Linked DNA regions of Nothobranchius furzeri. The protein of the gene in region 1 purifies or fractionates together with the protein of each later gene. This does not show direct contact. Links are inferred from orthologs where the notes say so. Each region holds a gene or a part of one and is shown in the gene's direction. Other genes may lie near its edges.

Region 1 (3,515 bases):
CCTGTTTCTTTGCCTGAGTTAACCAAACTAGTTAACTCTATGAAGACCTCTGCATGCCCCCTCGATCGGTCCCAGCATGCTCTCTATAACTAATGCTTCTCTGGTCTCTGGTCAGGTCCCTGCCTACTTTAAGAACGCTGTAATCCACCCGCTTCTTAAAACACCGAGTCTCGACCCCTCTCTCCATAGCAGCTTCAGACCCATCTCTAAACTTCCGTTCATCTCCAAGATCTTGGAAAAGGTTGTGGCTAAACAACTCACAGCTGCTCTTGATGAACAGAACATCTATGATAGCTTCCAGTCAGGTTTTCGTAGAGTTCATTCTACTGAAACCGCTCTTCTTAGGGTCTCTAATGACCTTCTGACTCACAGTGATGCAGGGTTCTGGTTCTGGTCCTGCTGGACCTGACTGCAGCCTTTGACACTGTTGACCATCACCTGCTACTGGAGAGGCTGAGAGACTGGGTAGGCCTATCAGGATCTGCTCTGGAGTGGTTCTCCTCTTATCTCTCTGAGGGCTCCTTTTCTGTGGCAGTCTCCAAGTTTAGGTCCTCCACCACCTCCCTTACCCATGGTGTCCCACAAGGTTCTGTGCTGGGGCCTCTGCTCTTCCTCCTCTGTCTGCTTCCTCTTCAGCACATCCTGAGCTCCTTCAAAGGAATCTCCTACCATCTTTACACAGATGACATCCAACTGTACATCTCCTTTAAGCCCCATGAGATGTCTAAGCTGCAGCTGTTACACACCTGCTTAGACTCTATCAAAACCTGGATGGTGGGAGCTTTCTTCAGCTGAATGAAGATAAGACTGAGATCCTCATCTGTGCCCCAGACAAGCTGGTTCCCAAAGTCAGAGACTCTCTTGGTCAGCTTGCTTCCCACACCAAACCCTCCGTCAGGAATCTTGGCGTGACCTTTGACCCAGCTCTCACCCTGGATTCTCATGTCAGTTCTCTTGTTGGCTCTTCCTTCTTCCATCTCAGGAACGTTGCTAAGCTGAGTCCCATTCTGTCCCGCTCTGAACTTGAGACGGTTCTCCACTCCTTCATCTCCTCACGCTTAGACTACTGTAACTCTCTTTTCACGTGTCTGAGCAGAACCTCCCTGAACCGTCTACAGGTGGTTCAGAACGCCTGTGCTCGGCTTCTGACCAAGTCCTCCAAACACACCCACATCACCCCGCTTCTCCTCCAGCTTCACTGGCTGCCAGTCAACTTCAGGGTTCATTTCAAGATCCTGGTTCTGGTCTATAGGGCCTTACATGGACAAGCACCATCTTACATTGGTGATCTTCTTAGTCCCTACACCCCCAGCAGGTCCCTGAGGTCCAGTGATCAAAGCCTACTGGTTGTGCAGCACCAGGCCAAAGACCAAAGGTGACAGATCATCTGCTGCTGTCGCCCCCAGACTCTGGACCTCTCTCACCCTGAGCCTGAGATCAGTGGACTCAGTGGTCTCCTTTAAAAAGCAGCTGAAGACTCACTTGTTCAAGCTGGCTTTTGTATGACCTTCTTCACCTCTCTCTCTTTATTCTGCTCTCCCCACCTATTCCACCTTCCTCAGGATCCACTGATTTCCCTCTTTCCTATTCACTCTCTCTTTCTTAACATTTTTTTGATCACAATTGTCTATTTTTTGCTCATTTTAAATATATTTTTAACCATTTTCTAAATTGTTTTTTATATTTTAACATTTTTGTTTTTGTGAAGCGCCTTGTGATTTTTATCTTGAGAGGTGCTATAGAAATGATATTTTCTTCTTCTTCTTCTTCTTGTGACTCCCACGTGTCAGTCTGAAGTATATTTAGAAGGAATTCTTTGAAAAAAGACTTTGTTTAATAATTTAATTCCTAGTTGAATCCATCAGCATGTTTTTGCTCTGTGTTGTTGTAGGTTATGAGATGCAGTAAAATAGCCAGCGTCAAAGTGTCTGAAATCACTGAACTCATCAGTCAAGCCTTGTTAAATGACAAGGCTGCCAGGTGAGTGGCTGTCTCCTATTTATTACTACATTACCCACAATTCCCTTTAGAGGCTACATTTGAATGATGTGTTTGAAACGTTCCAGGAAGGCAGGTGGTAAATGTGGCTTTGCCGAGTCCATGCCTCAGGATCGGATCACAGCTCTGAAAATGGACCAGACCGATGTAGAGATGACCAACGTGAGCCAAACAGGAAGTGGGGTGATCCTCCAGGGAGATGAAGCCCCGCCCCCAACGTATCCTGAACTGAAATGAAAGGACAAAAAAGGAACGGCATTTGTTTTTGTTTCTGACAGTTAGTCTCCCTAACCACACACCCATACCAGAGTCCCATCCCCAGTGGTGCCGGTGCCAGGTGTTGGTCAGGTGGGTCAGGGTCTGCAGAGCTGGGGACTGGAGGAGGAAGAAGAAGATGATGATGATGAGGAGGAGGAGAGCAGTGGAGATGACCAAGTGGAAGAAGTGACACAGATAAAACTGTCAGAAAAAGACAAGAAAGAAGGTTATTTGTTTTCATAACTAAAAGTCATGGAAGAAGAAAAAAAATTATAATTGAACTTTAATGTGTTTTGTCTTACAGCAGCTGTGGTGGAGATTTCAGACAGTGAGGAAGAGGAGGTGGTCATACTTTATCCAGAGACGACAGAGAAATCAAAGTAACATCTATTTGTTTGATATGAAGCCGAGGAGGTTGATAAATTAAACTAATCTCACCGGTTTCTGATTTTTTTCTTCTTCAGGAATTCTGGGTCCAGATCTGACCAGAAGGGGGCAGCAGCATCCAAGAAACGCCAGAAGAAATGACCGCAGCTTGAAACCGAAACAGAGAAAATACTACAATAATATGATATCGAAAAAGGCTTAAAACTGATTCAAATAAATTTATTTTTTACATTTCTAGAATCATTGTTGCGCGAATCAAAAGTTTGTCCATCATATGTCACTCATAAGAAACTTAAATAAGTCATGAGTCAGGTTCACGATAACACACGAGATTCACGCTTAGACAAAAATTCACCGTGTAGATGTGATGGTGGAGTGATAAAAAAAACAAACCAATTTACGTTAAAAATAATCAGGTTCCACCGAGATTTGAACTCGGATCGCTGGATTCAGAGTCCAGAGTGCTAACCATTACACCATGGAACCATACTGGCATCGTCGGGCGAACTCCTTCCTATTGAAAAGCAGCAGAGACATACTGTTAATTTGTTTCTGTTTAGGTTTGCAGACACAACAGATATCTTTCGTTAAATGAATGCCAGTAGCACATTGAATTGCCTCTGTGTATGAAATGTGCAATATAAATAAAGCTGCCTTGCCTAGTGAAATGCGTTGTGGAGTCCTCTGGCGTCACATAAGTGCAGATCATTTATGGTTAAAATAATGACGGATTTGGACAGAGTAAAAATAACTAAGTGGCCCGTACGGGGATCGAACCCGCGACCTTGGCGTTATTAGCACCACGCTCTAACCAACTGAGCTAACCGGCCGTGATGAGATCTGATGACAGGTTTTGTTAAATAGAAGGAATG
Region 2 (4,574 bases), on another chromosome or scaffold:
TCGTTCTTCCGTGGACCCGTGGTCCGGAAGTAGATGGGCGTGACTTAGGCTCCCCATAGGCGGCTCCTAACACCTTCATCTTGGCTGTGTTGCACGTCTCATCACGCCCAGACAGTCCAAACATGAGAAAAGAGATGAAGCTGAGAGTCGGGCTGTGAGGGTGGGAGCAAATGACTGACACCCATAAACTGAACCAATCCAGCTACAACAAGCACTTTTTTTACTTCCGTGTTGGTTTCAGGTCTGGGTCTTCGGGGTTTCTGCTTGGTTCTGACCCAGTGGGCTGGCTAAACCAGTTTATAGGTCTTATTTGTAGGTCTTTATTATAATTTTGTGTTTGATCATTTATCAGAGCTCCTGGGCCATTGTAGACCCCAACAACATTTCATAGGCTGTACAAAGGCTCAAAAAACAGTTTCTAGTTGTAAAAAAAATGTTTTGGGTCTTTTTAAAATTGTATATAAATGTAATATCCTCTGGTGGCAAGAATAAGCTCACGGAGAGTGGGTTGTTCTTTGGGAATATTTATTACTCCAACACAGGTACAGCCATGCTTCCCGGCAACGAACTTCCGCTTGTCTAATGTTAAAGTACACCCCACTTTGCATCCAGAACACTAGGTCCACCTAGAGGCTTCCTGTAAAATGTTTAACCTCTCACAATACTACAATAAATTCATCACATGAATCATAAAAGATTTGCTGTTTGCCACAGAGGGGGGAAAAAAAGTGCTGATGACAGAATTTCCTGTTTAGTATTCTAACCAGAAAAGGTGTTCAATACTAGGCTAGTAAAACTAGACCAGATTCCTCCCTTTTAAGTTTAAATACAAATAATATACTTATTTAGTCTGGCTTGCCAGGCTAGTTCAACACAGATACCTTTAAGCAAACATTTAACTGTTTTGTGAACAATTTTTTAATGTGAAACTTTTCCAGATAAAAGTGTTTTTAATCAACCCCTAGAACATATTTTGTAAACGTCGTCTTTTTGTTTATTTCAGAAAATTCTGGTAAATTCAAAAACCTTTTGAAAAACACCTGAAGAATTTCTGTTTGCGGGACAGAAGAGAATCCATGAGTTTTCTTTTGTCCGACAGTACATGAACGCAAAAGGACAGCACCAACCGTGGCTCCGACTCTCTCAACACGGAAACAGGTGTTGTGCCGAAAGGAGCATGCCTGCCGAAATGCGTATCCCCATGAAATAAGCATAGAGGTAAACTAGAATACTTTATGAGCGACGAGGCTAACACGCTTCTGTTACGTGTTTTTCGTGAAAGCGTTTTGTTTTTGTTTACAAATATGATGAAATAGTTATAAAAAAATTACGTTTTTGAACGTTTGAGAATAATGTTTTAGTGAGCATTTTTTATGTATTTTTGTGCTTTCTCCCAACTATTTTGTTGTTGGTTCTTAAAAAACACACGTGACACAAAATTACTCATTTTAAAATATTTATTACTACTTTATTACTATTTCTTCAAATAAAAATGTTTTAAACATAAATTTCTTTAATTTATCTGCCTACAAACGATCTTTTTGTAAGGAATCACGCAGATAAACATAATAATATTACATTAATAGTACTTTTTAAGCGCCTTTCCACAACGGGGATGCACATTTCGCCAGGCATGCTCTTTTCGGCACAACACTTGGAGCTTCCCTCTCACAAGTCCGCCAAAACATAGTCTTCACTTTAAAGTTCCGGTTTGTAAACTTTGGGTCAGCGGCTGCTGATCCATTTCGGTTCAGAGTTCGGGATGATTAAAACCGAGAAGATTCTGCACCTGAAGAGTTACCGAGGCCGGAGGGTTCGGGTGGTTCGGGAGCACTATCTGAGGGAGCGGGTTCCCTGCTTCAGCTCTCTGTGTCAGGCGGCCTGTGCTAACGGTAAGTCCGCCAAAACACACAACTAGTTGCTAAAAACACACAAACAGCCGTTTAAAACACAACTAGTCGTTACAAACACAACCAGTCTATAAAACACACTACTAGTCGCAAAAAACAAACAAAAATAACTAAATAAACCGGCCGATAAAACACATCTAGTCGCTAAAAACACAGCCAGCCACTAAGAGCTAACGAGTGTTTTATTTCCAGTCCTTCATTTATTAAACCTTTATTTATTTTTATTTAACCAGATGAGTCGATTGAGAGCTCATTCTCGTTTACAGAGATGATCTGGCCAAGATGCAGCAGCAACAGACACATAGTTAGCTTTACACTAAAGAAAAACAGATAAGATAAAAACATACAAGATAAAACAGTTAGACATAAAGACAAAGGACTGTTCTATTATATAATATGTACCAGCGATCCAAACAGACTTAAAACTGTCTTTAATGTGCCAGTGTGTATTTTTCCTGGTTGATGGGGAGCAGTAGACACCTAAAACATTGCAAGCAAGCAGCATTTTTGTGTTGGAGTAAGACCTTACCAACGGATGCCTATTAGGGTCAAAAAGCCCTGAGGAGTGCAAACTTCAGGAAAATGACAAGCACATCAGACCTCCTTTCATCAGTGGCAACAAGTGAAGAGATAAATGTGTAAAACAATGTTTATTAATAGTGAAAGTTTTATAATCGTTTGTTACTAATCAGTAAATGCATGGACGTAATTGGGGGGGGGGGGGGGGGCATGTCCCTCCCCACTTTTTCCAACGTCAAGTTTTGACCCCTGCACATTTTACCATCCAAAAACAATATTACGCTATACTAAATTGACACTGGTTGAGCTCTAGGACCAAGCAGAAACCAACCGTTTGTGTTGAGACCTGTTTCCCATTAGAGCATACTGTAAAGATTTTTTTTGATTCATTTAAACAAAATTTTGCTTTAAACTTCATTTTCTCCAACAGATTTAACAAGCAGATTGGTTAAACTTGATTTGATGACTCGGACTGGAGCTGTTGGGCTGCGCAGTGGTGCAGTGGTTAGAGCTGTTGCCTTGCAGCAAGAAGGTCCTGGGTTCGCTTCCCGGCCTGGGATCCTTCTGCATGGAGTTTGCATGGTCTCATTTTGCATGCGTGGGTTCTCTCTGGGTACTCCGGCTTCCTCCCACAGTACAAAAACATGACTATTAGGTTGATTGGTCTGTCTAAATTGTCCTTATGTGTGTGTGTGTGTGTGCATGATTGTTTGTCCTGTGTGTCTCTGTGTTGCCCTGCGATGGACTGGCTCTCTGTCCAGGGTGTACCTTGCCTAATTGCCCGTTGACTGCTGGAGATGGGCACCAGCCCCCCCGCGACCCTACATGGACAAAGCGGGTTCAGAAGATGGATGGATGGATGGATTGGAGCTGTTGGTAGACTCACATTCTTGTCCAACCGAACGTTAGAGGACCGATATAATTTAATATTTGTATTTTCTCTGATGGATTTATTATCACAGGTAGATCAGTGTAACAGAACATCTGATTTCTGTATAAAACAGTGAATATGTTGTGTGTAGCCATGGTAACGACCTGATGACCCCTCAACAGATGGCAAGGTGTTGCCCGGAGACTTGACCCACTATGTGGTGCCGGGGGTGGAGGTGGTGGTCAACTTCCTGGAGATCCTGGAATTCAGGGAGCTGCAGGGAGTCATCTTCACCCAGACGGCCTGCCAGGCTCTGCAGAGTAAAGGGCGCAGGTACAACACACACAAACACACACACACATAGAGGGTGAAGTGGGTTGTCTGAAGAACTCCAGTCTACCGTCTTTTTTTATTCCAAAGTGATGGAGAACATCTCATAAGTTTTCCTGACAAACCATTAGCAGCTGGTTCTGGTGTGTGTGTGTGTGTGTGTGTGAGAGAGAGAGAGAGAGAGAGAGAGAGAGAGAGAGAGAGAGAGAGAGAGAGAGAGAGAGAGAGAGAGAGAGAGAGAGAGAGAGAGAGAGAGAGAGAGAGAGAGAGAGAGAGAGAGAGAGAGAGAGAGAGAGAGAGAGAGAGAGAGAGAGAGAGAGAGAGAGAGAGAGAGAGAGAGAGAGAGAGAGAGAGAGAGAGAGAGAGAGAGAGAGAGAGAGAGAGAGAGAGAGAGAGAGAGAGAGAGAGAGAGAGAGAGAGAGAGAGAGAGAGAGAGAGAGAGAGAGAGAGAGAGAGAGAGATCGGCTGGCGGGATGATGTAGAGTGATATCTGCTGTAGGAAAATGCAATCAGCAAGGGCACAAAAACAAAACACGCTCAAAGATAGCGACAGAGCTCGAGACTAGGTCATATACCCAAACGAGTTAATCATCCGACGTCGTGTAGGTCTCAGACTGCCCCTCATATAGCCAGCCGGTGATTGCAGCTGAGTGGCTGCAGCTGGGCAGTTCTCCGGCACCGCCCACCTGCAGGAGAAGGGTTAGTGTGGGGAACAATATACCTCAGGCCATGACAGCTTGACCTTCTCTGGAACCGAAGCCTTTAGGAAAAGCAGCGGTTGCCGTCCGACCAGACCAGTCTTGGGATACTTCCGGGTCACGACAGTTTTATTGGCATCTAGCGAGACCAAAAAGGGGGTCGTGATGGTTCAGCTTTTATTCTGAAAGGAACCGTTGCAGCAGTTGGAACAGCAACAGATTTTATCCAGCTTGTCGTTAGGTTCT

Evidence for each region.
Region 2: the proteins of exosc9 (region 1) and dis3l purify together in Homo sapiens (affinity purification with mass spectrometry; 3 studies listed by BioGRID and IntAct, with this or other methods). This does not show direct contact. The link is inferred for Nothobranchius furzeri from reciprocal best matches to the Homo sapiens genes EXOSC9 and DIS3L.

Annotation. Positions count from the first base shown.
Region 1 is NC_091746.1:81,904,806-81,908,320, reverse strand, and holds the end of exosc9 (exosome complex component RRP45), read left to right. Parts: intron 1-1,891; coding exon 1,892-1,980; intron 1,981-2,066; coding exon 2,067-2,216; intron 2,217-2,306; coding exon 2,307-2,482; intron 2,483-2,560; coding exon 2,561-2,636; intron 2,637-2,720; coding exon 2,721-2,784; 3' UTR 2,785-2,883; downstream 2,884-3,515. UniProt on the Homo sapiens protein: Non-catalytic component of the RNA exosome complex which has 3'->5' exoribonuclease activity and participates in a multitude of cellular RNA processing and degradation events.
Region 2 is NC_091749.1:66,618,557-66,623,130, reverse strand, and holds the start of dis3l (DIS3-like exonuclease 1), read left to right. Parts: upstream 1-1,626; 5' UTR 1,627-1,762; coding exon 1,763-1,892; intron 1,893-3,482; coding exon 3,483-3,633; intron 3,634-4,574. UniProt on the Homo sapiens protein: Catalytic component of the RNA exosome complex which has 3'->5' exoribonuclease activity and participates in a multitude of cellular RNA processing and degradation events.